Lonchura striata: one gene and its partner. The protein of the gene in region 1 purifies or fractionates together with the protein of each later gene. This does not show direct contact. Links are inferred from orthologs where the notes say so. Each region holds a gene or a part of one and is shown on either strand. Other genes may lie near its edges. The genes, in order: TJP1 and OCLN.

Evidence for each region.
Region 2: the proteins of TJP1 (region 1) and OCLN purify together in Homo sapiens (affinity purification with western blotting; 4 studies listed by BioGRID and IntAct, with this or other methods). This does not show direct contact. The link is inferred for Lonchura striata from reciprocal best matches to the Homo sapiens genes TJP1 and OCLN.

Annotation. Positions count from the first base shown.
Region 1 is NC_134613.1:9,926,075-9,942,303, reverse strand, and holds the start of TJP1 (tight junction protein 1), read left to right. Parts: upstream 1-9,872; coding exon 9,873-10,215; intron 10,216-13,071; coding exon 13,072-13,216; intron 13,217-16,229. Other genes in the region: threonine--tRNA ligase 1, cytoplasmic, read right to left, coding at 184-262, 945-1,009, 1,659-1,776, 2,559-2,680, 3,764-3,887, 4,402-4,592, 5,377-5,463, 6,114-6,365. UniProt on the Homo sapiens protein: TJP1, TJP2, and TJP3 are closely related scaffolding proteins that link tight junction (TJ) transmembrane proteins such as claudins, junctional adhesion molecules, and occludin to the actin cytoskeleton.
Region 2 is NC_134630.1:7,825,592-7,840,992, reverse strand, and holds OCLN (occludin), read left to right. Parts: upstream 1-7,233; coding exon 7,234-7,941; intron 7,942-9,475; coding exon 9,476-9,634; intron 9,635-11,438; coding exon 11,439-11,597; intron 11,598-12,384; coding exon 12,385-12,581; intron 12,582-13,283; coding exon 13,284-13,455; intron 13,456-14,077; coding exon 14,078-14,119; intron 14,120-14,224; coding exon 14,225-14,326; 3' UTR 14,327-14,790; downstream 14,791-15,401. Other genes in the region: KCNN1 (small conductance calcium-activated potassium channel protein 1), read left to right, coding at 589-658, 1,429-1,566, 1,851-1,984, 3,663-3,920, 5,546-5,792, 5,912-6,433. UniProt on the Homo sapiens protein: May play a role in the formation and regulation of the tight junction (TJ) paracellular permeability barrier.

The DNA of each region.
Region 1 (16,229 bases):
TCAAAGTCAGTAGTTCTACCTGTACAACAGGAAATGGGAAAGAAATTAAGAATTATTGTACAGTAAGCAAAGAAAACAATACAAAGGACCAATCCTAGTACAGTCAGCCCAGGAAAAATAAATATATAAATAAATCAACTGACAATTTATTTCAGTTTTGATGCACAGTTAATTTAAACTTACCTTAATTATTTTAAGGGCCTTAATTTTTCCAGTGTGTCTCACATGTGGACCCTTGCAGAGATCAATCAATGGACCACATCTATATACCAAAACAAAAAGAGTGTTAACTCCAAGCAATCCAACATTTTTCAATACATTCACTAATGGCACACAAGTTCGTGTTTTGCACATTTAAACATGGTACTAAATATAAATATGCACCATGCAGCAAATTCCGTGCACCTTAATTGTAACTGTGCCTTTTACCTGAAGTGGAATATTCACTCAGTAAATGCTCAGCACACTTGATCCATTTTCAAGAGCATTATAATACACTGCCAATGCATATAGTTCCATACAGGAACTTGTTCAAGTTGGCCAGGAAATTTTAAAGTATGCACATCAAACAGAAAATGATGCTGCCATTTTCCAACCAACTAACATGTAACTGAACAAGCAGGTTTCTCACCCCACACTGAGCTAGTTAGCTTTATCCATTATGCAGCAAGCCAGTGTCAGAGATGGCAACTTATATCAATCAGTCTACTGAAACCAGAGGGAATAAATAAAATCTGAATTTGATATCTGTCCGTAAATTGAGACCTAATCTGTCCAAGCAGACACAGAACATCTCACTCTACGTAAGTAGCAATATTAATTGCAAACTTAATTCCCAATCACCAAGAATTCAGAATTTAGAATAAAAAAAATCCAAATTGTTCTCTCAAATTAAATTAATTAGCTATAAAAATACTTAATACCATTCAAGTATATTTCTTTACCTGTATACTGTGGTAGTTGGTGTCTTCACCTTCTCATTAAGGATACGACACTTGAACTTGTTATACTGTGTGTGGAAGTATGAAAGGTCAGAAACGTCAATAAAATTGATAATAATATTCTCTTTAAAAATTACATTTTAATATTAAATGCACCAGTAAAAGACACTTTTAACTAAAAAAAACCCAAAAGCTTCAAAACAAACAAAAGAAAAAAAATCAAACCACCACCAACAAAAAACCCCATGTATATTTCTCAGAAGAATTCCAAAAGCAGAGGGGAACAAGACAGAATTAACTCCCCTGAGGATGTGTTGATGATTGTGATCACCACCTGAACACCCCAAAGCATTTGTGAAAAGCAATCACACAGCACAGTTAGACTGGTGATATTCACTGAATAAAACAGGATTAGAACTAAAGCCTTTTCTGACCGGTCTTCACAAGTGAGCCAGAAGAAACATATGCCTTTCATTTACTTGTTAATTCAATGAGCTTGAGGTGTGGTTTTTTTTTGAGTACAGAAATGTTTTTCTAAGTGCTTGAAAACATCCTGAACACTAGGGAGGGCATATGGAGAGGGGAAAAAGGATGGTATTGTTTCCCTTTGTTTTACTAAACAGGTACTGTTCTCATGAGTCAGTCACACACAATAGTCCAGAAAAGTTACATTTTAAAAGATCATTGTACCAGATCCACAGCTACTCTAAGACTTACCTTAAACATGTCTAACAGGATCTCCTTTTTGACTTCCAGCCTTTCAAAAGCCTGTTTCTCTTTTATGATATTTTTACAACGGTTCTCTAGTAGTGGGAATTCAGTACTAGATACACTTCTAGATAAAAAGACACAGGCAAAAGAAATATAATTATTTTGAAACTCCCATTTTTCTAATTTGAAAAAAATGGCATGTGTTGTGATTTGTCACAGTATTTTTTCTTAGTTATTTACAATCAGCTCTATTTTCAGACACTAAACCCAGAAACACAGATAGTACCACCCTGAACAAACCCATTGCAATAATTCCTTCGAATGTCTGGAACAGTCTTTGACATGATTAAATGTCTGGAAGACCTACAGCTCAAAATATACGTATGATTTAAGAAAAAAAAAACAAGCCAAGGGGAAAAAAGGGGCTCAACCCAGCCACAGGAGCCAGTTTATCAGCTCATGCAGATTCAGTATTCTCCCTGCCTACAGTAGGATAAAGAAAGACAAAACAGAATTGTAAAGCTGTACACAAGGATTAGAACAGTAGTAAACATCTAGACAAGTTACATGCATTTGTGCCCTTTCTACAAGCAACTATGGGCCCTGGAAACCAAACTTGCTCAAGGAAGCCATCCCCTTTGCCTTACAGGAACTTCAGAAACTTCAACCCAAATGCTCTGCATTTTTTCCACAGATCAGCTTCAACTCTTACAGAGCAGGTGTCTGAACACTACTTCTGAATTTAAATATATACACTCAATCAACTGAATTGTACATACACAAGACTATGTTTCAAATCACATTATTAGAGACAGATTATACTTTTAACATGCAGAAACAAATGAAATAATTGTAGTACTGAGCTTTAATAAGGAGTATTAAAGTTCTAAGGCACTGTAATTTTACCTGTCTTCAATATACATGTCATAATGAAATCCATTCTCAATCGGTGGTCCATAGCATAAGCAGCCCCCAAAATATCCTTCCATGGCCTCTCCAAGAATGTGAGCACTTGAATGCCAATAAACCTGTAAATGAAGTCAAGTGAGCAAACCATGAGGTCAATGGCATTGTGTAACTAAAAAGAAGAAAAAACAAACTAGAGATATCTGCAGATAGGTCACAGACTGGAATCAATGTTGTTCAAATTTTGAGAGAAGTAAAACAACTTTATATTACTCATTTAGAATAATTCAAAATTAAAAGATAATGGCAGATGTAGCACTTAAGGCCCACCATACTTCAGTCTGAAAGAGGATGATTATACCTCTGCACAATTCCTTCAACTTACTTACTGTACCTTGTTTCATTTATAAGGTAATTTCAGTCAAAGTCTATGCACCACTAATCACATCTAAAGCAACGTAGCCAATTAGGTTGCCATTGTTCACATCCAGTACATTTATTAATGGGCCTGTAAACTGCATTACCTGAAATGTCAGAAGAGGGAATCAATAGATCAATACCAGTCTGATGTTCTGACTTCTTATTAATTGAGACTATTTCAGAGCTATTGTTATAAGATAAAGCTTTGACAGGCTCCTGAAATGTCTCCAACAAGCTTAATCCATGAATAATTCTTTCACAAAACTGAAGTCCAATCCTAGTGTATAAAGATAACATAAGCTGCAGACTGAAAAGAAAAATCTCAGTCACATTGCTAAGTATACATATAGTTTAACTGACTATGAAATGTCTACTAAGGATCTAATAAACAGTGCCAGTACAAGGGGGTGTAAATTTTATTTATGACTCAAGTCTAATATTGGACAGTTTTTAGAAAATGGTAGAGACTGCCTCACTCTGCTTTCACTGTCTGATCTTCAAATGCACCAAGCCAAATCACAGACCGTTTCAAGTTAACATACAAATCAAGGCTTTGTGGACAAACTCCTTTGAGAAATAACTTGTTTGTGTAAAAGAGAAGGATGAAAAGAACACAAAGATTTTACTCAGTCTGAGACTATAGGCACTTAGTACCTAATCATAGGAAATACATTACTTGAATAGTTTTGTGGGTTTTTTTAATGTAAGATTTTAAAAGCTTAATGGTGCAATCAATTTTATGTCATTAGTTTCTTTAATCAAGCAGAAACCAGTGTTTTACTCACGGCTTTGGCTTCTTCATTATCAAAGGTGAGCAGCTCTAGAGTACAATCTCCTTCCAGCGGACGGTCCAGATCCCAGAGTTCACCGTTTACTTTGGCTATGACTGCATTTGAAGCCAACACTTGACTAAAGAAACAGAAGAGACAAGAATATTTAGGTTCCAATTTGTAAAAGACTTTAGATTTCTAAACCCCATGAGACCACATGCACATCTTGTAGCATCTGAAGACCATAAACTTTTATTTCTGTGGTCATCTAAAACACTTGCCTACTTTTAAGGTATAGAACCTTAAGGTCTTAAGAGGTTTTGTTCAACACTTTTCAGTGCTGGTGGCCTGGAGGAAAGGCTACTCCTTACAACAAGTTCTACGGATTCAGCTAACTCACAAAACTTCCCATGTCTCTTAATTCCAAGCAGTGCCACAGATGCAATTGGAAGCATTATGATCCCGGCACAGAATCACTGTAACCAGCTGTTTCTACTACATGAAGCTGATGTGCCAATGCTTTCCAAGCAAACCAATTTAAGGGAGCCACCACCCACTGACTGTGAAACATATTTTATATAAGAAGGTAAGAGACAAATGATAGTAACAGTTTTAGCACTACAGAAGTACAACTACTTGAATGTGCAGGTTACCTAATTCCTACAGCTAATTGATATGGTGTGGTTTTCCAAGATTCCCCTTCAACTGTCTCCCCATCTGTCAGAGTAACTTTGATAGATCTGCTCTGGTTGGCTGCTCTGTAAGCTAGCAAAGCATCATGTTCTTTTTTCAGTACTTCATAAAGCTTCAGTCTGTCTTCTATGAAGCTTGGCATACACTGGAGCTGTAACACATAAATTAGATCACACACACATATTTGTGAGACAAGGAGAATAAAAGGATTCACAGTGTTGGTGCATCCCCAGAGGTTCCAACATGTCCAGATTTAACTGTACTAGAATTTACACTAAAATTCAGTAAAACATTTATAAAGAATAATATACAGAATAGTCCCATCCAACTTACTGACTATTTTATAGTGATTTTCTAATTTTCCATGCACTTTCATCAATCTGGGCCTAAATGGGTCTGTGAGCTGGACCTCAGAAAGCAGCTTATACTCCTGACCAATGAAATTTGCATTTGGCAGATGTCCTGGAGAAATCTGGATCACTCCAATAAGCCCTTGCTCCTGCCACTACATTCAAAGCATCAGATTCAAGCCAGACAGTTCACATGAAGGTTCCTGCATTTTAGCTTAAGGTGAATTATTAAGCTCTATTGTATTACAGCAGTGCTGCCAACATCCATTCAGCCATCATGAATGCTTTTTAACTCCTCATGAACCATCACTCTCCTTAGGCACCACAAAACCATGAACTTTATTTTCCAATAACCCAAAGCCTTTTGTTACATAAAATGTAGAGATCTAATAATGTATCAGTAATCCTAATAATGCAAGATTAAGCTCTTGAATAATATGAGGGTTTTTTCCTCTGTGCTATAGCGAGCTTTCATCCCAAAAGCTGGGATTTCAAAATACAGCAAAGTATTTCAGATATGAGCGCCTTTTCTGAAGTTGGCTGAAAACCACTCCTATTACTACGTGGTATTAATGAACCACTTACATCATTCTGGTGTTGGTTCACGGCTTCATCTTCCTTTTTCTTTTTAATTTGATTCGCTGCATCAGCTGGATTTGCACTGGAGACTTTCTGAAAACAGTGATAATACTAAGTAAACCTCTACTATACCTTCAAGTGCTTTTTCCAGCAATCATCAAAACAAACCAAACCAAACCAGTATAATATTGGGCTAAAAAGGCAATTACAGGGAACAAGGTATATCCTCAGTACACAGACTTCTCATGGCACTTCTAAACTGCATCCTTTTGATGTTCTGCAGACACAGCAGTGCTGCTCACCAAGCAAAGTCCTCTCAACACAATTTCCCAAATTTCACTACTACAACTATCACCAGCAAAATCGCCCCAGCGAGGCCGTTGGAGCAGTGAGCAGTCTGTCCAGGGATGCTGTGGATGCCATCCCTGGCAGTGTTCAAGGCCAGGCTGGATGGGGCTCTGATCAGTCTGGTCTAGTGGAAGATGTCCCTGCCCATGGCAGGGGGCTTTAAGGTCCTTCCCAACCCAAACCATTCTATGATTCTGCGAACTCGCCGCCTTGGCGCAAGGGCAGAGACCACTGCCCAGTGCGGGCAGGCACCGCGACAGGCTTCTTCTGCTCCCGGGGCCCGGGCACAGGCGGCTCGGCCCCGTGAGCGCCCCTGTCCCGTCCCTTCCCGCCGGCGGAGGCCCGGCCGGCCCGGGGTCACCGCCCCGCCCCGCCCCGAGCGGCCCCGGCGCTACCTCTCCGCCGGCCGGGGGCTGCGCCGGCGCCGCCCGGCCCAGCTCGGCCGCCAGGCTGCGGCGCAGGTGCAGCAGGCGGTACCGCAGCTTCTCGTTCTCGGCCCGCAGCCGCTGCAGCTCGGGGCTGGCGCTGCCGGGGCACTGCAGCTCCTGCGGCTCCTTCAGCCGGCCGACCTCCGCCGCCAGCCAGCGCAGCTCCCGCTCCTGCCGCGACAGCCGGAGCTCCGCCGCCTCGGCCGCCGCCGCCGCCATGTTGGCCCCGGCGCGCTCCGCCCGCCCCGCCCCGCCCCGCCCCGCCCCGCCCCGCCCCGGCCCCGCCCCGCCCGGCCCGGCCCGGCCCGGCCCTCCCGCTGCCGCCGGAGCCCGCCCGGCGTCCCTGCCGGGCGTTCCTTTTCCCATCGCCCCTTCTGCTCATTGAGCAATCCGCTTTTTGGAGCACCTGCTGCTGTGCCGGGGATTCATCAGCCTACCTGAGGCCGGTGAGCAGCTGGGAAGTGTCGATATCTACAGAATCAGTTGGGGTGGAAAAGACCTCTGAGATCATCGAGTCCAGCCTATGACCGAGGACCGTCAAGTGGACTATGGCTTCATGTGCCACATTCAGTCTTTCCTTGAACGCTTTATTAAACAATGTCAGTGTTAAAACGTGTTGGTCAGATTGCATTCTTATTTGACTTCAATGTCAAATGAACACTGCCGGAGGTTATTTGTAGTAGATGCTTCCTGGCTGACACACTTTCTTATTAAATCAGGCTGATTGAAACTATTCAGCATCTTAGCACAAATTGCAGAACTTAGCACGAAGGTAAATAATTTGAAGAGGGTTGAGTTGCCAGATGTTAGGACTCAGAGCTTGGGAGAATTGTACAATTCCTATTGCACAGCCCAACAGTCTGCTGCATCATTTACAGGTCATTGCAGTTAAATACCTCAGTTCTTGACTCTGGGAAAAGAATAGCTCTCCATCACAAATCTTTCATATCCACCATGTACTTCCATGTATCCTTTTGTCTTAAACACTTCCTTGGCATCTTCAATTTATCTAGTTTCCTGCTTTGATTGTACTTCACACTCACTTTTCTGTGTTCAGTTTCTCAACACACATTTTCAAATTTTCACCTTTAATCTATACTCAGACTTTAAAAGCTGTGGGCTTTTATTACCAAATTGGCAATTAGCAAATCAGAATTTTAGCATTTTATTCTTCTATTTACACAGTGGGAAATAACTATATGGTTTGTGAGAAGGTAGAGAGATAAATTTTGTAACTGTGCGCCACTTGATACATTTCCTATATCACCCATTCTTTGTGATTTTAAGACTTTATAAGAACATATTTGAGGTTATAAGAATATATTCTTTTACCAGCAAAAATAATGGGGAGATTTCTGGCTCAAAACTTGTACTCCTTTAGAAGAAAAAAGTAAATTATTCAGTGCATCAAGTCCAAAGACTCTCCTATAGTGTATACTCACAAATTTTAGGTTCATATACCTCAGCAAACTGGTAACAATGCACTGTTTTCATTTGCAACAATTCTTCTTTCCTTTCCTGAAGAGGTGCAACTTGGCAACACCTTTGTCTATCCCTCACTATAGCAAGGATGTGTATCTTTGAGGTTAGATTGGCAGTTGTGAAAGTAAAACATAGTCTATAGCTTCCTTTAGAAATCTATTTTCATTATGAATTTGATAGGTTACTTGCTATTTTAATTTTTAAATTCACTACTGTGCAGAAATAATTAGTCTGCTTAGGATACTGATGACAAGCAGTGTTATCAGCACAATAGAATAAACACAGATTTGTTTTTTAAATTAAACTCTGAGAAATGTATTCAATTTATATCTTCTGTATCTCATCTTTGGGTAGTGCCTTATGAACTCAAAAACGTGTAACTTTGGGCTTGCTCTGGCATTTAGTGAAGTAAGGAAGAACTTCCCCTCTGAAGGCTGAGAAGGCTGATTCAGAGGATGCTGTCTAACATATGTGCAGTGCCAATATCCTCTATCAGGATCTTTTATTTGCTGAGATAATGTGGTGTTAATTAGTAGAACTTATGAGACAGAAACAATTTGAAGAGAGCAAAAAAATCATACTACCTCTATGAATGTTCAAAGCTAGAGGGAATTTGGAGAGTTAAAGCCTCCTTCCAAAGTCTATCTAGAAGACCTGCCAGATAGGTTGGCTACTTTCTCTGCCCTGTGCAGCTGGTTTAGCTGTGCTCCCTGGCTCGTGGTTAGGATGGCTCATGTTGGGATGGCAGCTGCTTTGCACCATCTCTGTCCCCCCAGAGGGCCCTCTGTGGTGTGTGGTGTGCAGAGCACAGGGAGCTCTACCTGAGATGATCACAGCAGCGTTATGGCCAGTAAGCCATAACATTGTAAACTGAGACAATTAATATTTCTTCAAATAAAACACAAACCCATGGTCCTTGCCCCACATGATGTGTCACACAGAGGCTTGTTGTATCTGCAAACAACCACAAGGTGACAGGCAATGCTGCCAAACAATTCCGTGAAGCCTCGCTGGCTAACTGGATGCTCGCATACACAAGAAGATTCCTGTGTTAGGATATGGTCAGTGGTCAACTTTAATGTTAACTGAATGTACTTGAACTTTAGGAAACAGAAGAAGCCTGAGAGGAGGATACCATGGTTGCAACTTAAGATTACAAGAACAGAAAATATTCTAAAACTCATTGGACTAAAAGCTTGGCAAAATATTTTTGTTTGCTCCACAACAGATAAACTACCCTTTAGAAAAGTGCAGGTAAGGTCACATGAGCAAGGCCATGGATGCATTATCAGTTGGAAGAAATAGAAAAAGAAAAAATAGACTAAGAAACAGGAAGGGGAGGCAGGAAATGTTCATAGCTTTTCCATAGAGGGAATTTATGTTGACAGAAAGTATGAAAACAAGACCGAGAAGTCCATGTACTAAGGATCATTTGCATAAGGGAGGTTATGTAATGTGTGATCCTCAATGAATGATTATCAGTGGCAGAACACCTCCACTGGGATTGCAGTAATCTCCACTGTTAAACCTGGCTCAGGAAACGAATGCTACATGATTTATTTTGCTTGGAAATGGCATAAAAATATAGACATGTAGAAATGTTGTTATTCTTAGTAGTTATGTACTTACCTTGACAAAAAAGGTCTTATTCTGTAACTTTTTTTTTTTTTTACCTTTTGCATATAGGTTTACAGAATATATATAGAAACATGCTTTCTAAATGTGTAATTTCATTCCATATTAAAGCTAATATTTTATAGAAGAACAAGAATTGGATGGTATTTGTACTGTGGTTTGGGTATGGCCTCTGAGGAATATAAAATCAAAGTGTACAAAGGATGCTTTATTTTATGTCCTGTACCAGCTTGTACAGATTATTTCCATTTGATCAGCTGTCTTCTAGAATGAATTATTTTTTGCAAAGAGATATCTTTGAAGATCAGTTATAGAATTAAAAAGTAACAGTAGCTAAGCAATTCTCAGTCTCATCATTATGGTTCAGAAGCTGTTAACAGTTGTAAAGGGCTAATTAGTGTAATGTAATCCTCTTAGGAGGCTGCAGGCATTGAGCTAGATTTCTTTATAATTTGTATGTAGGCCTTCTTCATTCCATTGGTATTACAATAATCACAGACATCAGTATGTATATGCATTCTAGCTATCCACATTATGTTGATTCTGTATACTGAATGCTGCACGAGAAATGCAGAAGTAGAATTTTCTATTTTCTATTTAAATATCAAAATGTTTGGAAGAACAGCCAAGTCTTGGTTTTACAACTGTGCAAAATCTACCAGAAGAGAAAATGAAAACAGGAGTAAGTGGCTCTCTGAAATCCCAAGCAATCAGAGACAGAAAATACTGGAAGAGCTGGATGTGAACAAAGTGCTGTCATATTTGGTTTACAAGAGAGTCTTTTCCTTGGAGGAATACAAAGACATTTGGTCTCAGGAGAGCTACAAGAAGAGAACAGAATATTTTCTAGATAAACTCTATTTAAAAGGCCCAGGTGCTTTCTCTGCCTTTTGTTCCATTTTGGAGGAGGTCTCTCCTAACTTGCTGACATGTTTTCTCCTTGGCTATGAAGGTAAGGTCACTGCTCTGAAATGCTTAAGTGTATATTGGTAATGTCTTGCAATCCTTTGACACTAATAGTTATTTGCTATAATTAGTGTTTACTTTCTCTCTTGCACTAAACCAGAGATAGTATTTACTACCTTTATGGTTTTTAGTTATGAAATAAAAAATAATTAGGAGAAAAAAAATCTTAAATATATTTTATTGTTATACTTAGAACATTTAACCTGATAAAATGCTGAATACTCAAATTGCTGCTATTAATAAATGAAAGTCAGGATGGTGAAAAGGATTTCTAGGTATTACTGATAACGCTTAGATGAGAAATGTAACACTGATTATTTACGTTCCTTACGCTTTCTGAAATATTTAAAAATAGATTGAGAAGTTCTGTAGGCAAAAACCCGAGTAAGTGATCCCGTTCACATTTTTCTTGTTAGTTATTGTATCTGTCTGTAAACAACTGTGTGAAAAAGGGTTGAATTCCTAAATATCAACAATACGAGTGAAATTAATCAAATAGTGATTTGGCCATCAGGCACCAGCCGTACTTATTTGCGGAACAATATTTTGCTAGATATTAGCAAAGGTAATGTGAAAAATGCGTAGGGTGCTTACAATTATATCTTACTGACCTATTTTTATTTTTTGTGTCTGTTATATTCTAAATTTCAGTCTATCAAGTCAACTAGAGTTTTTCTCAGCAATGACTGCAGGGTTGTGCTCAAAGGTTATATAGGGAATGTCCTTTTAGAATGTAATTAAAATAGTCACATCTTTCACTGATCTATTCAGTACCAGGTTTAAGCAACTTAAAATTACAAGTATTTATAAATAAAATAAGTCTGAGTCCTGTAAAAAACATTAATAAACTAAATATGAAAAAATTTGAAATATAAAACCATTTTGACCTTTGAAATAACTAGATTGTGCCCTCTCTTGACAGCCTGATTACTTTTAAAATTGACAGTTGGAGTTCTAATTACATGAGAAAGCAACAGACATTTTACCCTAATTTAATTATGAAAGATGCCCATTTAATGTAGCTTTTCAAGATCAATTTACAATAAGGTTTTATGGCAGTAACAAGAAAATCAAAGGATGTTGCTGGGGAATTTAATACATGTACAAAATACTTCACAGACTACAATGCTATAAAAAAAGCTACCTAGGCCCTCTTTTCACTATCTTTTTTTTTTTTTTTAAGCATAGAAATATAAATACAATTGATTATAAATACATTATAAAGCCAGGTCTTTTGGAATACACTTTTTGGAATGAAAATTTGGGCTTCCTCTGATTTAACTGAAGAGACAGTGCAGGGAGGGTTTTTATTCTATGCCATCTAAATAGATCATGCAGGGGCCTGTCACAGAACAGATTTCAGTCTTCCAGTGGGTACAAGGTTTGGGGGTAGCACTGCTCTAAAGGGGATGGCCTCAGCAGAGGAGTGCAAGTCAAGGACTCTGTCTCCCTGACAACATCACAGGAGATACAGAGAAAAAGGAGAAAGCAAATGCCACACATTTCCAAGAGTAAAGGATACTGTTGGAACAGCATCCCAATCCATTCTGTCTGTGCCTTGTGCAGGCAGAAAAATGCCTCAGGCTGCCTTAGCTCAGCCACTATTACACTCTTTCTTCCTTCCCCTCCCCCAGTAGTGCTTATCAAATATGCAAAGCTAGTTTTAGAATCTGCTTTTGCTAGTAATAATTGACTGGATAACAGGCAAAGAAAAACACATGCTATATATACACATTAATTCATGCAAATAATCTGTTTAAATTCATGCACACATACATTGCAGATTCAATTAAAATGCATTATGTGTTCTGGCATTGTGGATTTTTATAGATCAATTTTGATAAACCGTGTTACAAGGTGCACAGAAAGATGTGATGAAAAAGAACATTGTTCATTATTTCCATTACCATAATTTTCTTCTCCATCCTCTAAAAGCTGACTGATAGGGCAAAGGAATCAAGAGGAAGGAATGCAGTCTAGATGCATGACGAGAAGCTGCTATGCCTGTGCTATGTGGCATCAGCACTACCAGAGCAGTGCCATCCTGCCCACTGTACTTGTTAAAGACACTCTTTGTGGAAGGCTGACTGAGCACACAGAATAGAATCAATTCCTGTTATTGATCAGCTGCATGTACAGTGGGACCAGTTTCTGTTCTCTGGACCTGTCCCTGTTGGCAGATATGGTTATTTTAATGGGTTTCCATTGTCTGCATGCCCTACAGAAAGGACCATTTGACAGGTGCTGGAAATGTGGCATGACTCCAAGAGGTCACTCAGGCTGTGGATTAATGTGGCTCACTGCAAGTACTGTGAACTGTGCTAGTGAAATGTGGCCACCGAAGGATATACTGTTGCTTGCACATAATTGTTTTAATACTTTGAACTCTTTCACCTCATAATTTCCAATAATTACCCTCACAGTAACTTAAGTGGCGTTATAGCCCCACTGATGCATCAAGATTAGTGACTTGATTAGTTTACTTACAATTCTTCCTATAATATAAAACAAAGCCCCTAGTGATTTCATGCGGAGAAACAGTTGGTTACTACTTGCCCATATGATACAATAGAAAGTCAGCTCTTCATTGGCCAGGAAGAAATTTACATGGAGTAAGACTTTTTATTATTTCCAAATTTCTATAAATAGTCTGACCTATATATCTCAGGTCTATTGGAAATATGAATAGGGAAACAACTTTATGAATATAAGGTCAAAAGACACTGTGTTTACCTATATCAGTCACTTATCCAAATGTAACATCACTGACAGAATTACATCAAATTGTAGATGTTATTTTTAATTATGCATCAGCTATTAGAGAAATTTCTTTGTTATCCAGACCATTTGCATTTCCCAGCGTTATCAGAGCAAACAAATCTGAGAGCTGTAGCAGAGATGGAGCTTCACGAAACCTGTCAGATGAGTGACCAAGAAGGAAGCCTTTCTGCTGAGGAGCAACTGAACCAGTCATTCAACAAATACAGGTTAAAATTATCACTGTCATGATGTTTTTAATAATCACAGCATTTCCTAAGACTTAATTTCTGCATAAGTGAAGTAACATTGAAACTTTCAAGGGTTTAATTGCATTTGATTTTACCTGGCATTTGTAAAATACAATTCTGCTTTGTATAAAGAACATTTTGGATGTTGATTTTTGAATGCTGTTGAATGCTGGGAATTATCCCTGGTCTTTGCTACAGGTATTCAGTAGTGATGTAATGCATTGATGACATTGCTAGTTTTCAGTGTTCAAGGGCTAAGTACATATGTAGAAGAATATTTTACTCATACATTTTCTTGGAGTGTGGCAGACAGCCTAAGTTAGTATCACAGTTTCTGTTATTTTTATTTACTTTCAGATGAATAGAAACTATTCATATATATAGAGGAAGACCTATGTAAGAACAGCATGTAACCTGATACATGCTGTGATACTGGGATTTAAGTCTCTTCTTCAGAGATTTGAACATAAAAGGAGGAGAAATAAAACCTTGGAAAATCCTAAAATGCTTCAATTGATGTAGTTACTATTCAGTTCCAGCATTTGCAGTTGTGTGTTTGGAGTCATGCTTTGCCTAATTTGATATGGAATCTAGCTGAGAATGGACTACAGCTCACAATAGCTCATTAGCTGTTAAGAAATTCTGTCCAACTAAGACAGAAACATTCTGAGAAATGTCTTGAAAAATCGTTAAAAGCTGTCCTGTTTTGATGTGCTAGTAGCATATTAAGAGCAAATGATGAAAGCTTCAATACTATTGCATGCCTAGGTTAGTTTTGTTAAGTTGGAGCTAGTGTCTGGATTACGTTAGTTTTTAGAAATGTAATAAAAATTAATGACTCTGAAATGATTGTGAAACAATTGCAGTTGTATGAGGTTGAACTGATCCTGAGTAGTAGTGAAACATGAAATGATAATAGAGTAGTATTTGCCAAACTGTACAGTATGGGCTGATCTATACCCACAATTAATAAAATCCCAGTCAGAACTCACTTTTCATTAGACATTCACAGGAGTTCCAGGAGACTTATAGCCATTCACTGTCTGAATATGTGCCATTTGGATTTTAAAGGTCCTCTAACTGCACAAAACAATTCACTTACAAAACCAAACCAATTAAGAAGTGCCTGAAACTAAAGAATCACATTAGGGAAATAATGGACAAAAAGGAAATCTTTCCTGAAGTCAGCTTGTATAGTACAATAAAAATGTGGTCTATAAAACAAGTGAAATTCAGTAAGGTTGAGGTTTTCCTATTGTGATTTGGTTTACAACTTTTCAGGGCAAGCAGCTTATCTATGAATGCCCTCACAAAAATACTAGACAGAAGTACCATATTGCATGATTTCTGCAAGTCAGTGCTAAGGATATGTTCTTGGTCTGGTTTGGAGGACAGAAATTATTGTCCTGGTTCTGTTTATTGTCCTCTCTGTACCTTCTTTCCCAGAATACCCTCTTCAAAACAAGACAACCTCTATTAGACTAATGGATGGAATTATAGGTTGGGTCAGTAATTGCCTGAATATGACCTCAATTAGTACTGTTTTCAATACATTTTTGGTGTGAGTTGTTCTTGTTGCCTTTTGGTTTTTTTGGTTGGTTTGTTGTTGTGGTTTTTTTCTATTTATTTCTCAAGCATTACTGGACAGTTGGTGCTGATCCTATGAAAATCATGAAGATATGATAAAGAAAATAATTACTATTTTCCTCAAACTTTCGGTTTTCTTCTTTAACAAAATTTTATATTCTCCTGTTGACTGAGAACTAAAATGCTGAAGCAGGTAACTCTCTGTAGTATTAATAGTAAATACAGATGTTTCTTTCCCATGTATTAAGAAGAGATTGTGTTACAAAGGCTCTCAAATAAATTATCAGAATAAGTGATATCCAAACTGTGGAAATCAGATACTATTTTTGTAGTTGTTATAAAACAAGCTGTCCATTTTCACAATGTGAGCAACAAGAGATTTTTGCACGCAATTTTTCCATTTTCCTGTAAATGGATTATGATTATGTGATACATCCTTTATAGTGCATGTAATTAATTCGTGTTTGAAGTATCATTTATGGATTTCCCAGTTTTGTTATAATTCTAGAATGTCTGAGTTCCATTGTAGAATATGCCTTTCTGAATCTATTGGAATTGTGGTTTACAGCTCTTAAATAAGTTAAGTTTCAACATTAGCTCAGTTGGTTAGAATAAGGTGCTAATAACACAACCAAGGTCGTGGGTTCAATCCATGTATGTGATTGCCTTAAGTTACTTAAGAGTTGGACTTGATGATCTTTGTGGGTCCCTTTCAAGTCAGAATATTCTGGAATCTGTCATTTGGAAATTAACATTTTGCACAGGGAAACAAAGCTCATGTGTGGCAAAACTTCACTGCTAATGATAAGTTCTATTGTAAAGCTGAAAGTCTTTGCCTTGCTTTAAATAACAAAAAATAATGTATACAAAGTATGTAAACATCATCTATTCAGAAAAAAAGTGCAGATCTAGGCCACAGCACAGATTTTTATGATTTTTTTTGACAGTTATATATTGGCATCTGACACCTCTGAACATCATTACTAATTTAGGTAGTAGAGTGTTTATGTAATTTTTGCATGTGTTTTCTGTTCCTTCAGAAACTTAATAACAATAACAATAACAATAAGCATCAACAAATGCAGCATTTGGCAGTTAATACTGAACACTAGTACTTGTCTCCAATAAAGCCCTGTTCAGTGGTGCCACTAGATGGTACTGCACCACAGTACAATTCCTTGGCTCCCTATTTGAAATTATAACTGTGAATGATTAATTAGAATTGCAACAATCGCATAATGACTTGTTTGCCCAGTTTTCCTAGACACAATACACACACACACACGCACAGAGATGCAGAGGATACACACAGGGCATTTAGGAGTTTTTGGTTTGATTTGCTAGCATCAATAATGAGCCAATGTTCCTTATCAACCCATACAAATGTAACTTTGATGTTTCAAAA
Region 2 (15,401 bases), on another chromosome or scaffold:
CATCCCTGTCCCTGTCCCCCCATCCCTGTCCCTGTCCCCACCCCCTGCTGGGGACACCAGACCTGTGGGGTGACCCCCGGGCCCCCATCTCCAGGGTGGGCTGTGGGGGTTACCGGGGGTGGCCTGGCTGGGACAGGGGTGTCCCTTTTGGGTCCCCTTTGGGGTCCCTTTTGGGGTCCCTTCGGGGTGGGGGTGGTGACACTGCTGCGCTGTCCCCTCGGAATTAACCCTTTGTTTTGTGTCCCTTGTGCCACCCCGCAGGGCTCAAAAGTAAGTGTCCCCTCCCCTCCCTCCCAGCTCTGCAGGGGATGGGGGGGACACCCCAAAACTGCGGTGACCCCCCCGGGGGCTGCTCTGGGGAGGGGCTGCTGGGGGTGACAGAGGTGACAGGGGTGACAGGGGTGACAGGGGTGACAGCAGTCCTGGGGGTGACAGAGGTGACAGCTATCCCAGGGGGTGACAGCACTGTTGGGGGTGACAGAGGTGACAGTGCTCCCGGGGGGGGTGACAGTGTTCCCGGGAGGGTGACAGCGCTCCGGGGGGGTGACAGCGCTCCAGGGTGTCCCCAGGTCACCGCTGTCCCTGCAGGCTCAGGAGTGTGAAGATGGAGCAGCGCAAGCTCAGCGACCAGGCCAACACCCTGGTTGACCTGGCCAAGGTGAGGGGACGGCTTTGTGGGGTCACAGCTGCCCTGGACCCCCGGATCTGTGGGGTCACAGCTGTCCTGAACCCCCGGATCTGTGGGGTCACAGCTGCCCTGAACCCCCGGATCTGTGGGGTCACAGCTGCCCTGAACCCTCCTGGGCCGTGCCTGACCCAAACCCCACTGTTGTGGACTTCTGGGTCCATCCCTGACCCCAAACCCCTGTTGTTCTAGTTTTTGGGGCTGTCCCTGACCCCAAACCCCCGTTCTGGTTTTTGGGTCCATCCCTGAGCCCAGACCCCCGTTGTTCTGTTTTTTGGGTCCATCCCTGAGCCCAAACCCTCATTGTTCTGGTTTTTGGGTCCGTCCCTGAGCCCAGGCCCCCGTTCTGGTTTTTGGGGTCCATCCCTGACCCCCGTTCTGGTTTTTGGGTCCGTCCCTGACCCCCGTTCTGGTTTTTGGGTTCATCCCTGACCCCCGTTCTGGTTTTTGGGGTCTGTCCCTGACCCCAAACCCCCATTGTTCTGGTTTTTGGGTCCATCCCTGACCCCCGTTCTGGTTTTTGGGTCCATCCCTGACCCCCATTGTTCTGGTTTTCGGGTCCGTCCCTGAGCCCCGTTCTGGTTTTTGGGTCCATCCCTGACCCCCGTTCTGGTTTTTGGGGCTTTCCCTGACCCCAAACCCCCATTGTTCTGGGTTTTGGGTCCATCCCTGACCCCCGTTCTGGTTTTTGGGTCCATCCCTGACCCCCGTTCTGGTTTTTGGGGCTGTCCTGCCCCGAGCAGACGCAGGCGCTGATGTCGGAGCTGCTGGCCGAGCTGCAGGAGCGCCACGAGGAGCTGGAGAAGCGTCTGGGGGCCCTGGAGGCGCAGCTGGAGGCGCTGGGGCTGCGCCTGCTGGCCCTGCCCGGGCTGGTGAGCCAGGCCCTGGGCCAGCCGCGGCCACCGGGGCCGGCGGGGACAGCGGGGACAGCGGGGACAGCGGGGACACCGGGGACAGCGGGGACAGCGGGGACAGCGGGCACAGCGGGCACAGCGGGACTGTCACAAGCACCGCGGCCACCAGGCACACCGGGACCACCAGGGACACCGGGACCACCGGGGACACCGGGACCACCGGGGACATCGGGGACCTCGGGGACGCCGCGGCCGAGCGCGGCCACCGCCCCCTGCAGCCCCAGCCGCGACCCCCGCGCCGCCCCCGACAGCCCCCGGCCCGCCTCGGACAGCGGCTGAGCGGCGGCGGCACCGGCGGCACCGGCGGCACCGGCGGCACCGGCGGCACCGGGGGGCACCGTTTGTCCCCTCGTGTCACCTCGGGCAGCGGCCGCGGGGCGCTGGGGTCACCCCCGTGTCCCCTTCCGTCACCTGGGACAGCGGCTGGGGATGAGGGGGGGACACGGGGGTCCCTCTGTGCCACCTCTGCCACCTCACGGGACAGCGAGGGGGCGTGGGGACACCCCAAGGTGGGGACACCCCAGTGTGGGGACACCCCAATGCGGGGACACCCCAGTGTGGGGACACCCCAGTGTGGGGACACCCCAATTTGGGGACACCCCAATGTCCCCTCTGTCACCCCCCCCAACTTTGGGCTGTGCATAATGGGGGGGGGGGAGGTTGGGGACACCCCCAGACCCCTTTGTGTCCCCCCACGCTGTGAGGGCAGTTTCGGGGTGCGGGGGGGTCGCAGAGCCCTTTGTGCCCCCCGGTTTTGGGGTGCGGGGGGGGGGTCGCAGAGCCCTTTGTGCCCCCCGGTTTTGGGGTTTGGGGGGGGTCTCAGAGCCCTTTGTGCCCCCCGGTTTTGGGGTTTGGGGGGGTCGCAGAGCCCTTTGTGCCCCCCGGTTTCGGGGTGCGGGGGGGGTCTCAGAGCCCTTTGTGCCCCCCGGTTTTGGGGTTTGGGGGGGTCTCAGAGCCCTTCGTGCCTCCCGGTTTCGGGGTGCGGGGGTCCCCGTGTTTATCTCTGGCCATCGTGTGGCCGTGCCCGTAGCTTTGTTCTGGAAAGCTCCGTATAAAAACCTCCTGCGTTCACTGTGCTGGGCCCCCCAAAACCCCCCCAGGGCCCCCCCAGATCCCCTCGGACCCCCCGGGAACCCCCGGCACCCCCCAAACAAGGGGAGCCGAGCTGAGCTTTTTTGGGGGGGGGCTGGGAGAGGGGAGGGGACGGGGGGGACAATCCAGGAGCCCTGAGCGGTTTTGGGGGGGTGGGTCTAAAATTTGGGGACTGGGTGGGGGGGCTCGGAGGGGGGGAGGGGGAAAGAGAGACCCCCGTGGTGACCCCCAAAATGGGGGTGGGGGTGTATTTTTGGGGGGGGGAGGGTTTCTCCATTCCTGGCTCCGCCCCCAAAGTGACCTTGGAGACGTCACCTCTCTGTGCCTCAGTTTCCCCCAGCTGGAAAATGGGGGTGGGTGGGTTTGGGGGGGCACCCCTGGATGCAATACTGAGCCCATCCCCGACCCCCGGGGTGGGTCAGGACCCCTCCCCACAGCCCTGGACCCCCCCCGGGTCCGGTTCTGCTCCACCCGCGGAGCTGGGGGGGTTTGGGGGAATTTGGAGTTTTTTGGGGCAGTTTTGGGGGGGGCTGAGGCGCAAATTAAAGGAGCCTGAACTGGACGTGTCGCTCTCTGCTTGACCTGGAGGGTCTGGGGGGATTTGGGGGGCTTTGGGGGGATTTGGGGCATTTTAGGGTGGTTTGGAGGAAATTTTGGAGCGGTTTTGTAGGGATTTTTGGGGTGTTGGGGAGGATTTTAGGGGATTTGGGGAGATTTTTAGGATTTTGGGGGTGGATTTGGGGAGATTTGGGGGGACTTTTAAGGATTTGGGGGGATTATTGTGATTTGGAAGAGAATTTAGGGGGTTCGGGGGGATTTTTGAGGTTTTGGAGTGCATTTGGGGGGTTTTGAGGTTTTGGAGCAGATTTGGGGGGATTTTTGGGGGTTTGGAACAGATTTGGGGGGATTTTTGAGGTTTCGGGGCGGATTTTGGGGGACCCCTGACCCTTTTTGGGGCCCCGCGGCCCCAGAAGCGTTGGGAACGCTCAGGGGGGTGGGGAGGTGGTGGCCCCGTGCGACAATCGGGGGAAACTGAGGCTGTCAATGATTAACGCGCGGTGCCCGGCGGCGGTGGCACCGCCGGTGGCACCGGTGACACCGCTGGTGGCACCTCTGGTGGCACCGCTGGTGGCACCGCTGGTGGCACCGCCGGTGGCACCGGGGAGCAGCCGGGGGACATCGCGCTGTGCCCGGGGGTCGCGTGTGTCCCCTCCCCATGCGACGGGCAGGTGAGGGCGGTGGCGGGGAGGGGACAGTGGCCATTGTCCCCCGGGGCTGGCAGGGGGACAGGAGGGGACACGGGGTCCCTGAGCGTCACCCGTGGCTGTTTCCCAGCCAAAGGTGTCCCCAAAGGTGTCCCCAAAGGCGTCCCCAGATGTCCCCAAAGGTGTCCCCAAAGGTGTCCCCAGAGGTGTCCCCAGAGGTGTCCCCAGGTGTCCCCAGATGTCCCCAAAGGTGTCCCCAAAGGCGTCCCCAGATGTCCCCAGAGGTGTCCCCAAAGGTGTCCCCAGGTGTCCCCAGGTGTCCCCAGAGGTGTCCCCAAAGGTGTCCCCAGGTGTCCCCAGAGGTGTCCCCAGGTGTCCCCAGATGTCCCCAAAGTCGTCCCCAGGTGTCCCCAGATGTCCCCAGAGGTGTCACCATGGCCGGAGGTTGTGTCCCCAAAAGTGTCCCCAAAGGTGTCCCCAGGTGTCCCCAGAGGTGTCCCCAGGTGTCCCCAAGTGTCCCCAGGTGTCCCCAGCTGTCCCCAGGTGTCCCCAAAGGTGTCCCCAAAGGTGTCCCCAGAGGCGTCCCCAGCTGTCCCCAGGTGTCCCCAAAGGCGTCCCCAGGTGTCCCCAGCTGTCCCCAAAGGTGTCCCCAAAGGTGTCCCCAGCTGTCCTCAGAGATGTCCCCAGCTGTCCCCAGAGGCGTCACCGCCGCCGGACGATCCATCCCGTTCCCGGGCCAGCGGAGCCGCGACAATCGGGGACATCCGGAGAGAGCCGGGGACAGTCGGGGACACCCCCCGAGCCACCCCCACCCCTCGGTTCGGGGTTTTTGGGGAGGCCCCGCCACCTTTGTGCCCCCTCCCCCCGCGGGAGCTGCAGTAATTCAACATTACTTAATTCATTAATTATGTTTGGTAATTAACACAAAAACGTCTGCACGGTTTGTTTTTGGGGGGGGTCGGCCCGACCCGGAGCTGCCCCCCCGCCCTTTGGGGACTCTCCTGACCCCAATTTCCCCTTTTCCCCCCAATTTCCCCTTTTCCCCCCAATTTCCCCTTTTCCCCCCAATTTCCCCTTTCCTCCCCAATTTCCCCTTTTCCCCGAATCTCCCCTTTTCCCCCAATTTCCCCTTTCCTCCCCAATTTCCCCTTTTTCCCCCAATTTCCCCTTTTCCCCCAATTTCCCCTTTTCCCCCCAATTTCCCCTTTTCCCCCCGAATTTCCACTTTTCCCCCAATTTCCCCTTTCCTCCCCAATTTCCCCTTTTTCCCCCAATTTCCCCTTTTTCCCCCAATTTCCCCTTTTCCCCCCCAATTTCCCATTTTTCCCCCAATTTTCCCCTTCCCTCCCCAATTTCCCCTTTTTCCCCCCAATTTCCCCTTTTCCCCCCGAATTTCCCCTTTTCCCCCGAATTTCCCCTTTTTCCCCCCAATTTCCCCTTTCCCCCCCAATTTCCCCTTTTTCCCCCAATTTCCCCTTTTCCCCCCAATTTCCCCTTTTCCCCAATTTCCCCTTTTTCCCCCAATTTCCCCTTTTCCCCCCAAACCTCCCCGGGGCTCCCCCGCTGCTGCCCCGCCCCGTTTTTTAACCCCTCCGTGCCCGGTGCTTCCCCCGCCTCCCCGGGGGCGGGACCCGGGGCCGGTCCCGCAGCGCCGCCGCCGCCGCCGCCGCCTCCGCCGCTCCCGGCTGCCATTTTAAGGTGAACAAAGCGGCGGAGGAGGCGGCAGGTGAGCGGCTCCGCGGTACCGGCAGCTCCCGGTACCGGCACCGGCACCGGCAGCGCGGGGAGACGGCGGTACCGGAGCGGGAGGGAGCGCCGGGGGTCTCCGTTCCCCGCTGGGAACGGGCGGGTTCCTCCTTCCCCGAGGCACCGGGGGCCCCGCCGGGCTTCTCTCCGGTACCGCGGGCCGCACCGGAACCGGCCACGGGGCTCCAGAGCGGTACCGACTCCTCACCGGCACCCGGGTCCCCGCCACCGGATTCCAAAGCGGTACCGGGTCCCCACCGGCTCCGCAGCGGTACCGGATTCCAAAGCGGTACCGGGTCCCCACCGGCTCCGCAGCGGTACCGGACTCCAGAGCGGTACCGGGGTACCGGCTCCGTACCGGTACCGGGCTCCCCGACACCGCCGAGCTCCCCTCCGTGCTCCCCCCGGTACCGGAGCCGGCCCCGCGGCTCCTCCCGTGTCCCCACAGCGGGCCGGGACCCCCGAGCCTCCGGTCCCGTCCCCGCCGGCTCCGGTCGCCGCTGCGGGTCCCGGGGGTCCCCGGTGGGGTCAAACCGGGGGATCCAGCCGGGACCGGGGCATTGCGGATCGACGGGATCGGGAACGGGACCCTTGGGCAGCCCCAGAACTGCCCCCGAGCCCCGGTACCACCGGAGCGGGCGCCCGCTTTGCCTTTCCCTCAGGAATTCGCCTTTCCCGCGGGGCTCTGGGGATTTTTGGGGGTCTCTGCGTGTCCCGCGGGGGGCCCCACGTTCATTTTGCTGATTTTAAGACCCCCCCCCAAATTTTCCTCGCGGCTCTGCCTCACGTGACCTCCGGAATTGTCGTGGTTTGGAATTATTTTGATTTTTTATTGCGATTATTTCGATTTTTAATCCGGGATCAGCTCGGCCCCCCTCAACCCCCCGCCGCTTCCCATTCGGGAATTCCAAAAATCCCGATTAATTCCCTGCCACCTCCGGGCTGTGGGGACAGGGAGGTGACACCGAGAGTCCGGCGTGGCTGGGGTGGCACCGGCTGGTGACTCACCGTGCCTCAGTTTACCCACGTAAACCCGCGGTGACTCCGTGCCTCAGTTTCCCCATGGAACTTCTGGGGCGTCTCCAAGGTTTTTGTGGGGAGGTGTCTCCAGGTTTGTTTTTTTTTTTTTGGGAGGGAGGGTCTCCGGATTTGTTCCTGGGGTCTCCAAGGTTTTTTATGGGCGTGCTCCGAGGCTTTTTTGGGGGTGGTCTCCGAGACACTTTTGGGGGGCGTTTTTCCAGGTGTTTTTTGTGGGGTCTCCAAGGTTTTTTTTGTGGGGTCTCCAAGGTTTTTTTGTGGGAGCTCCAAGATCTTTTTGTGGGGTCTCCATGTGGTTTTTTTTGTGGGGGACTCCAGGGTTCTTTTGTGGGAAATTTCCCAGGTTTGTTCGTTTGTTTTTGTGGGACCTCCAAGCCTTTTTGGCGACTCCCACTCCGGGTGGCGACTCCCTGCCTCAGTTTCCCCGCGGTAACTCCGGCTGGGCGGCGACGGCGACAAAGGGACCAAAGTCCTTCCCTTGCCACCCTCCGCGGGTGCCAAAACCGTGACAAAACCCTCCGCGAGCGGCTCTGTCCCCTCGTCCCCCGCAGGGATGTTCCCCAAGAAACTCTCCGACGGCCCCGCCGGCGGCTACGGGCCACCCCCGGCCACCTCCTACGGGCCACCCGCGGGCGACTACGGCTACGACTTCGGGGCCCGCTCGCCGCCGCCGGGCTCCTACTACGCGGAGGACGCCCCGCAGCATTTCTACCGCTGGTGCTCGCCGCCGGGGCTGGTGCGGCTGCTGGCGGCCGCGGTGCTGCTGCTCTGCGTGGCCGTGTTCGCCTGCGTGGCCTCCACGCTGGCCTGGGACTACGGCTACGGCTACGGCGGCGCGCTGGCCGCCGGCCCGGGCGGCTACTACGGCTCGGGCTACTACGGCGGCGGGCTGGGCTACGGCTACGGCTACGGCGGCTACTACGGCTACGGCGCCGCCAGCCCGCGGGCGGCCAACGGCTTCATGATCGCCGCGGCCGTGCTCTGCTTCCTCGCCCAGCTGGGGCTCTTGGTAGCCAGCCTGAGCAAGTCCAGCGGGTCGCGGTCGCGCCGCTTTTACCTGGCGGTCACGGTGGTGAGCGCCGTGCTGGCCCTGCTCGTGCTGGTGGCCAGCATCGTCTACGTGGTGGGGGTCAACCCGCAGGCGCAGATGAGCGGCGGCTACTACTACAGCCCGCTGCTAGCCATGTGCAACCAGGTGTACGCCGGCGGCGCCGTGCTCAACCAGTACCTGTACCACTACTGCACCGTGGACCCGCAGGAGGTGAGCGGGGCCAGCGGGCCACCGGGAGGGGGACCGCCGGGAGGGGACGGGGACCACCGGGAGGGGACCGCCGGGAGGGGACGGGGACCACCGGGAGGGGACGGGGACCACCGGGAGGGGACTACCGGGAGGGGATGGGGACCACCGGGATGGGATGGGGACCACCGGGATGGCGATTACCGGGAGGGGACAGGGATTTACCGGGAAGGGATGGGGACTACCGGGATGAGGATGGGGACTACCGGGAGAGGATGGGGACAACCGCAGGGGATGGGGACCGCCGGGAGGGGACGGGGACTACCGGAGGGGATGGGGACTACCGGGATGGGGATGGGGACTACCGGGAGGGGGACTACCGGGAGGGGACGGGGACTTACCGGAGGGGATGGGGACTACCGGAGGGGATGGGGACTACTGGAGGGGATGGGGACTACCGGAGGGGATGGGGACTACCGGAGGGGATGGGGACTACCGGAGGGGATGGGGACTACCGGGAGGGGACGGGGACTTACCGGGAGGGGATGGGGACTACTGGAGGGGATGGGGACCACCGGGAGGGGAACTACCGGGATGGGGACTACCGGAGGGGATGGGGACTACTGGAGGGGATGGGGACCACCGGGATGGGGATGGGGACTACCGGGAGGGGACAGGGACTACCGGGAGGGGAACTACCGGGATGGGGATGGGGACTACCAGAGGGGAACAGGTTTGGGGTTTGGGGTTTGAGATTCAGGAACTTGGGTAGGACAGAGAAAAAAACTGGGATTCAGGAATCAGCCCCGCCCCCTCGCTCACCCCCCCACCCCCGCTCTTCCCCGCGCCAGCCCCAAACTGCAGCGATCCCAAATCATTCCCGGGATCCCGATCCCGCTTTCCATCCCGGTCCCGGTCTCGGTTCAGGTCCCGGTCCCGGTCCCGTCCCTGGCCGGGCCCGCCGGGGCCGCTCCCCCCGGCGGGGCTGGAACTGGAATGCGGCGCTTCCAGCCCGGCCGGTGGGACCGGGAGCGCCCGGGGCCGCCCGGGACCGGCTCGGGATGGGGCCGGAACGGGGATGGGGCCGGCTCTGGATGGGGGCCCGGGGCTGGCACCGGGGGCCCCCAGATCCTGCCCATCCTTCCCAAACCCCAAAACTTTCCATGGCCTTTCTAAATCCCAAACCCTCCTCAATCCCAGACTTTCCCAAATCCTAAACCTTCCTGAATCCCAAATCTTCCCTGTCCTTCTCAAATCCCCATCCTTCCCAAATCCCAAACCTTCATTTCCCGTCCTTTCTGAATTCCAAAACTTTTCAAATCCCAAATTAGAGATTTGGGAAGGACAGGGAAAGGTTTGGGATTTGGGATTCAGGAAGGTTTGGGGTTTGGGAATGTTTGGGATTCGGGAAGGTTTAGGATTTGGGAAGCACAGAGAGAATCTTTGGGATCGGGCTCATCCCCTGCGGCGGGGACTCCCGGGCTGAGAGCAGCGGCGCCAGAACCCCCAAATCCCGAATTCCCGGAATTCCCGGAATTCCCGACTCCCGCATTCCCAGGCCGTGGCCATCGCCTGCGGCTTCCTGATGGTGCTGCTGCTGTGCCTCATCTGCCTCTTCGCGCACAAAACCCGCAGCAAGATCTGGAAGTACGGAAAACACAACATTTATTGGGATCGCCTCCCGGCCGGCCGCCAGGGCCCCGACGTGGAGGAGTGGGTGAGATTTTGGGGATTTGGGGGGTTTGGGGAATGCTGGGAATGGGATCCGGGGGGTCCTTCCCGCCCCTTTTCCAGCGGGGCTGGAAATCCCCAAGTTTGGGATGGGTGCAAAGGGAAGTTTGGGGGATTTGGGGGCACCGGGAGTGGATTTAGGGGGATTTGGGGATTTTAGGGGCATTTTGGGGACTTCGGGGGGAGTTTGGGGACTCCAAGAGGGCTTGGGGACACTGCCAGGTGACACCGCGGGGCGCCGCGCGCGGTTTCGGTCTGGCCAATGATTAACCGGGAGGTGGCACCGGGAAAAGCCGGAGTGGTGGCACCGGGACGGGGACCTTGGGGACATCCCGGGCTTGTGTCACCTGCTGGGCTGGCCCGGGGCGGGGTGGGAATGTCACAGCGCTCCCGCGGGAAGGCTTGGGACAGTGGCTTAGGGGACAGCCCTGTCCCTGTCCCATGTCACCATCCCTGTCCCGTGTCCCCATTCCTGTTCCTGTCCCCATTCCCTGTCCCCTGTGTCCCCATCCCTGTCTCCTGTGTCACCATCCCTGTCCTGTGTCCCCATCCCTGTCCCCATCCCTGTGTCCCCACCCCTGTCCCCATCCCTGTCCCTCTCCCCTGTGTCCCCACCCCTGTCCCCTGTGTCCCCATCCCTGTCCCCACCCCTGTCCCCATCCCTGTCCCCTGTGTCCCCATCCCTGTCCTGTGTCACCATCCCTGCCCCCAGTCCTGTCCCTGTCCCCACCCCTGTCCCCTGTGTCCCCGTGCCACCACTCCCATCCCGGTTTCCCTGGGGCCGCGCTCCCTGCGTCGCTTTTGATTTGATTGGATTTTTTGGTGATTTAATCTGATTTATTTTCTTTCCCATTGTGCTCTCGCCCCGTTTGTTTGGGTTCCTTTGGGTTTATTTGCTCCAGGCCCCTCCCTGGATGAACATTTCCCGTCCCTTTTGGGGACACGCCACCACCCGCAGGTGCCACCCGCAGATAACACCCCCGCCTGCCACCTCCCCCGCGCTTTTTTGGGGTGTCACCCCCTTTTGGGACATCTGAGTCCCCAGATGCCACCACGGCTTGGGGACACACCTGGCGGCCCCCGGGAGGGGACGGGGGAGGAAGTGGCGTGTCCGGCCGGATGTCCCCAAGGCCACCAAGCCGGCGGGGACCGGCGTCCGGCACAAACAACCCACAAAGGGCCGGACGGAAGGGGACAGGGGACAGCCGGACGTCCCTTGTCCCTCTGCGGGGCCACCCCGAACCTGCTGGGTGCCACCCTGAGGGTGCCACCAACCCCGAGCTCTGTCCCTTTGTCCCCTCGTCCCTTCGTCCTTTGTCCCTTTGTCCCTTTGTCCCTTTGTCCCTTTGTCCCTTTGTCCCTTTGTCCCAGTTTCTTCACGGGGGTTTTGGGCTTTTGGCCTTTTGGGTTTTTTGGGGTTTCTGGGTTTGTTGTTTTTTTGGTGGTGGGTTTTTTGTTGTTTTTTTTGTATTGGTTTTTTTTGGTGGTTTTGGTTTTGGGGGTTTCTGGAGTTTTTGGGGTTTCTGGGTTTTGGGATTTTTGGGGATGTGCCTGAAGGATTTGGGGGACTCCAGGTGGGACAAAAACCTCTGTTTCCTATGGATTTTCTGTCAGATTTTTCAGGGAATTCTCAGGGATTTCTTGGTGGATTTTCAGGGAACTTTCAGGGATTTCTCTGGGAATTTCGGTGCAATTCTCAGGGACTTTTCTCGGGGCGTTTCTCGCCGATTTCTCCTTTATCCCGGCTGAGTTTTTCCTCCCGAAATCCCAAATCCCAACCCGTTCTCCAGGTGAAGAACGTGTCGGGCGGGACGAGCGTTCCAGACGAGGCCGCCACGGTCGCGTACTCGGAGAAGGGCGAGACCCCCGGGCCAGCCCCACCCTACAGCCCCCCCGCGTACAGCGACCCCCCCCAGAAGGGCTGGAAAAGGTGGGGAGGGGGAAAAGGGGTGGGGAATGTGGGGAGGGGTCGGGAAAAGGGGTGGGGAAGGGGGAGAAAAGGGAGGAAAAGGGTGGGAAATTTGGGGAAGGGGCAGGAAAGGGGTGGAAAAAGTGGGGAAGGGGCAAAAGAGGGAGGGAAATGAGAGGAGGGGTCGGGAAAAGGATGGGGGAGTTGGGAAATTTGGAGAGGGGTCAGGAAAGGGGTGGAAAAAGTGGGAAGGGGCAGGAAAGGGGTGGGGAATGTGGGAAGGGGTCGGGAAAATTAGGGAAATGTGGGAGGGGTCGGGAAATGTGGGGAGGGGATGGGAAAAGGACGGGGGGTTCGGGAAATAAGGGGAGGAGTCGGGAGAGGGTGGGGAAGGGTCTGAGGGGCCGGGAAAGGGGAGAACCCCCCAGGGCCGTGTCCCCGTGTCCGGTGTCCCCGTGTCCCGTGTCCCCGTGTCCGATGCCGCCGTGTCCCCGTGTCCCCGTGTCCGGTGTCCCCGTGTCCCCGTGTCCGGTGTCCCCGTGTCCCCGTGTCCCCGTGTCCCCGTGTCCCGTGTCCCCGTGTCCCCGTGTCCGATGCCGCTGTGTCCCCGTGTCCCCGTGTCCCCGTGTCCCCGTGTCCCCGTGTCCCCGTGTCCGGTGTCCCCGTGTCCCCGTGTCCCCGTGTCCCCGTGTCCCGTGTCCCCGTGTCCCCGTGTCCCGTGTCCGATGCCGCCGTGTCCCTGTGTCCCCGTGTCCCGTGTCCCCGTGTCCCCGTGTCCCCGTGTCCCGTGTCCGATGCCGCCGTGTCCCCGCAGTGACCCCCCCCAGGACCCCCCCTCGCCCCCCGAGGGGGAGCTGGACGCTGCCCGTCCCCCCTCCAAGCCCCCCGCCCGCCGCGGGCGCCGCCGGGGCCGGCGCCAGCCCGAGCGCGAAGGCTCCCAGTGCTCCCAGTGCTCCCAGTACGACACCGAGCCCACCACGGCCGCCGAGTCCGGCGACGAGCGCGACAGCGAGCAGTGGCACAGGTGAGGCCCGGGACAGCGGGGCTCGGCGTGCCCGTGTCCTGTGTCTCGTGTCTCGTGTCCCGTGTCCCATGTCCCTGTGTCCCGTGTCCCGTGTCCCGTGTCCCGTGTCCCCGTGTCCCATTTTCAGTGTCCCCAGTGTCCCATATCCCATACCCAGTGTTCTCAATGTCCCCATGTCCCATTTACAGTGTCCCCAGTGTCCCCACTGTCCCCATGTCCCATTTTCAGTCTCCCCAGTGTCCCCAGTGTCCCATTTTGTGTCCCCAGTGTCCCCATGTCCCATTTTCAATGTCCCCAGTGTCCGCAGTGTCCCCAGTGCCCCCAGTGTCCCCATGTCCCATTTTCAGTGTCCCCACTGTCCCCATGTCGCATTTTCAGTGCCCCCAGTGTCCTCATGTCCCATTTTCAATGTCCCCATGTCCCATATCCAGTGTCCCCAATGTCCCCATGTCCCATTTTCAGTGTCCCCAGTGTCCCATTTTGTGTCCCCATGTCCCCAGTGATGTCCCCATGTCCCCAATGTCCCCAGTGATGTCCCCGTGTCCCCGTGTTCCCAGTGACGCCCCGGTGGTGTCCCCGCAGGCTGTACCCCCCGATCGGCTCCCTGGGCACCCGCCATACCCAAATGTCCCCGTGTCCCCAATGTCCCCAGTGATGTCCCCGTGTCCCCGTGTCCCCAGTGATGTCCCCGTGTCCCCGCAGGCTGTACCCCCCCATCGGCTCACCAAGCGACCGCCAGCGCTACAAGGCGGATTTCGGGGCGGAGCTGCGGCGCTACAAGGAGCTCTGTGCCCACATGGACGGGGTCAACGAGCGGCTGGCACAGCTGGCAGCACAGCTGGACCAGGTGCCCGAGGACAGCGCCCAGTACCAGGTGTGCCCCGCTGCCCCCGGAGCGCCCCTTCTGCCCCTTTTCACCCCTTTGTCACCCCTTTCTGCCACTTTGTCACCTCCTTTTTACCCCTTTCTGCCCCTTTCCACCCCTTTTTCCTTCTTTCTGAGCCCTTTTTCCTCCCCTTATTTCTCCCCCTACTCCACCCCACTGTCCTGTGCCTGTCCCTCTGTCCCTCTGTCCCCCTGTCCCTCTGTCCCTCTGTCTCCCTGTCTCTCTGTCCCACTGTCCCCCTGTCCCTCTGTCCCCCCGTCCGTCTGTCCCCATCCCTGTCCCTCTGTCCCACTGTCCTCCTGTCCCTCTGTCCCCCTGTCCCCCTGTCCCTCTGTCCCCCTGTCCCTCTGTCCCTCTGTCCCCCCATCCGTCTGTCCCCATCCCTGTCCCCCTGTCCCTCTGTCCCTCTGTCCCCCTGTCCGTCTGTCCCTCTGTCCCCCTGTCCCTCTGTCCCCCTGTCCCTCTGTCCCCCCATCCGTCTGTCCCCATCCCTGTCCCCCTGTCCATCTGTCCCTCTGTCCCCCTGTCCGTCTGTCCCCATCCCTGACCCCCTGTCCCTCTGTCCCCCTGTCCGTCTGTCCCTCTGTCCCTGACCCTGCTGTCCCCACAGGCCCTGGCCGAGGAGTACAACCACCTCAAGGACCTGAAGCGGGTGAGTTTTTCAGGGCTGGACTTTTTTTTGGGGGGGGTCTCCCCCTCTTTGGGGACATCCCCGTGTCCCCAGACGTCCCCTAAACGTCCCCAAATGCGTTCCCAGAGCCCGGAGTACCAGGAGAAGAAGCGGGAATCCAAAACGCTCCGGAACAAACTCTTCCACATCAAACGGATGGTGAGCGACTACGACAAACTGCGGGGCTGAGCGCACAGCCAGCGCCCCAAAAAAGGGACATTTTTAGGGGGACACCCCAAAAAAACCCCCCCGACCCCTCCAAAGACTTTTGTGCCTTTTTTTGGTGTTAAAAAACCCCAAAATTCCTCGTTCTGAGCCCTCCCCAGTGCCAAGGGTGGGGGCGGCTGGTGGCAGCTGTTGGTGTGACTCCCCCCACCCCAAAATGTCCCCAAATGTCCCCAAAGTCTTTGGGATCCCCCCAAGTGCCTTCCCCTGGTTGTAAATAGGATTTTTTATGGGGTTTGCACTCCCCTGGCTGCCTTAAAGGGGTTTTGGGGCTCCCAAGTTGGGGTATGGGGGATAAAAAAACGCTTTTGGGGTTTTGTTTTTGGGGGGGACCCAAATCCCCAAATGTTTCCTAGGGAATTGGTGGGAACTGTGGGAATTGTGTAATATTTTTAATTGTTTTGTAATAAATTAAGTGTAATTGTTGATTTTCATTTGGGGTTGGGGTGAAATGGGAAGGCAGAAATTGTCCTAAATTTGGGAGGGGAAATCCCGAAACCCTCCCAGCTCAGGAAAAGAAAACCCAAATCCCCACGAATCTTGGGATAAAAATCCCAAATCTCTCCACTCTGGGAAGGAAATCCCAAATCTCTCTGTTTAGGAAGAGAAATCCCAAATCCCCTCAAACCCTGGGAAGAGAAACCCAAACCCCCCCAAATCCCAAATCCCCCCATCCCACTGCTCCCAGTGGGATTTATTTCCCAAAAAAAAACCAAACTGAAGCAGAACTCCTGAAATCCCCAATTTCTCCCCTCCAAAAATCCCAATTTCAGGACTTTTATGGAACATTCCCTTTTTTTTGGGAGGTTTGATCTCCCCAGTTCCAATTTTTCTGCTGGATCCCAAATCCAGACCCCTGGGATTGTAGGAAATGTCTTTAATTTGCGTTAATTAATGGGTTTATATGGCGCAGCGAGGATTCCATCAGCGGGGAATGGTCCTGGAATCCCAAATCCTGAAATCCCAAATCCCGAAATCCCGAAATCCCAAATCCCTAAATTCCAAATCCTGGCTCATTCCAGACCTCCAGAGTTGTAGG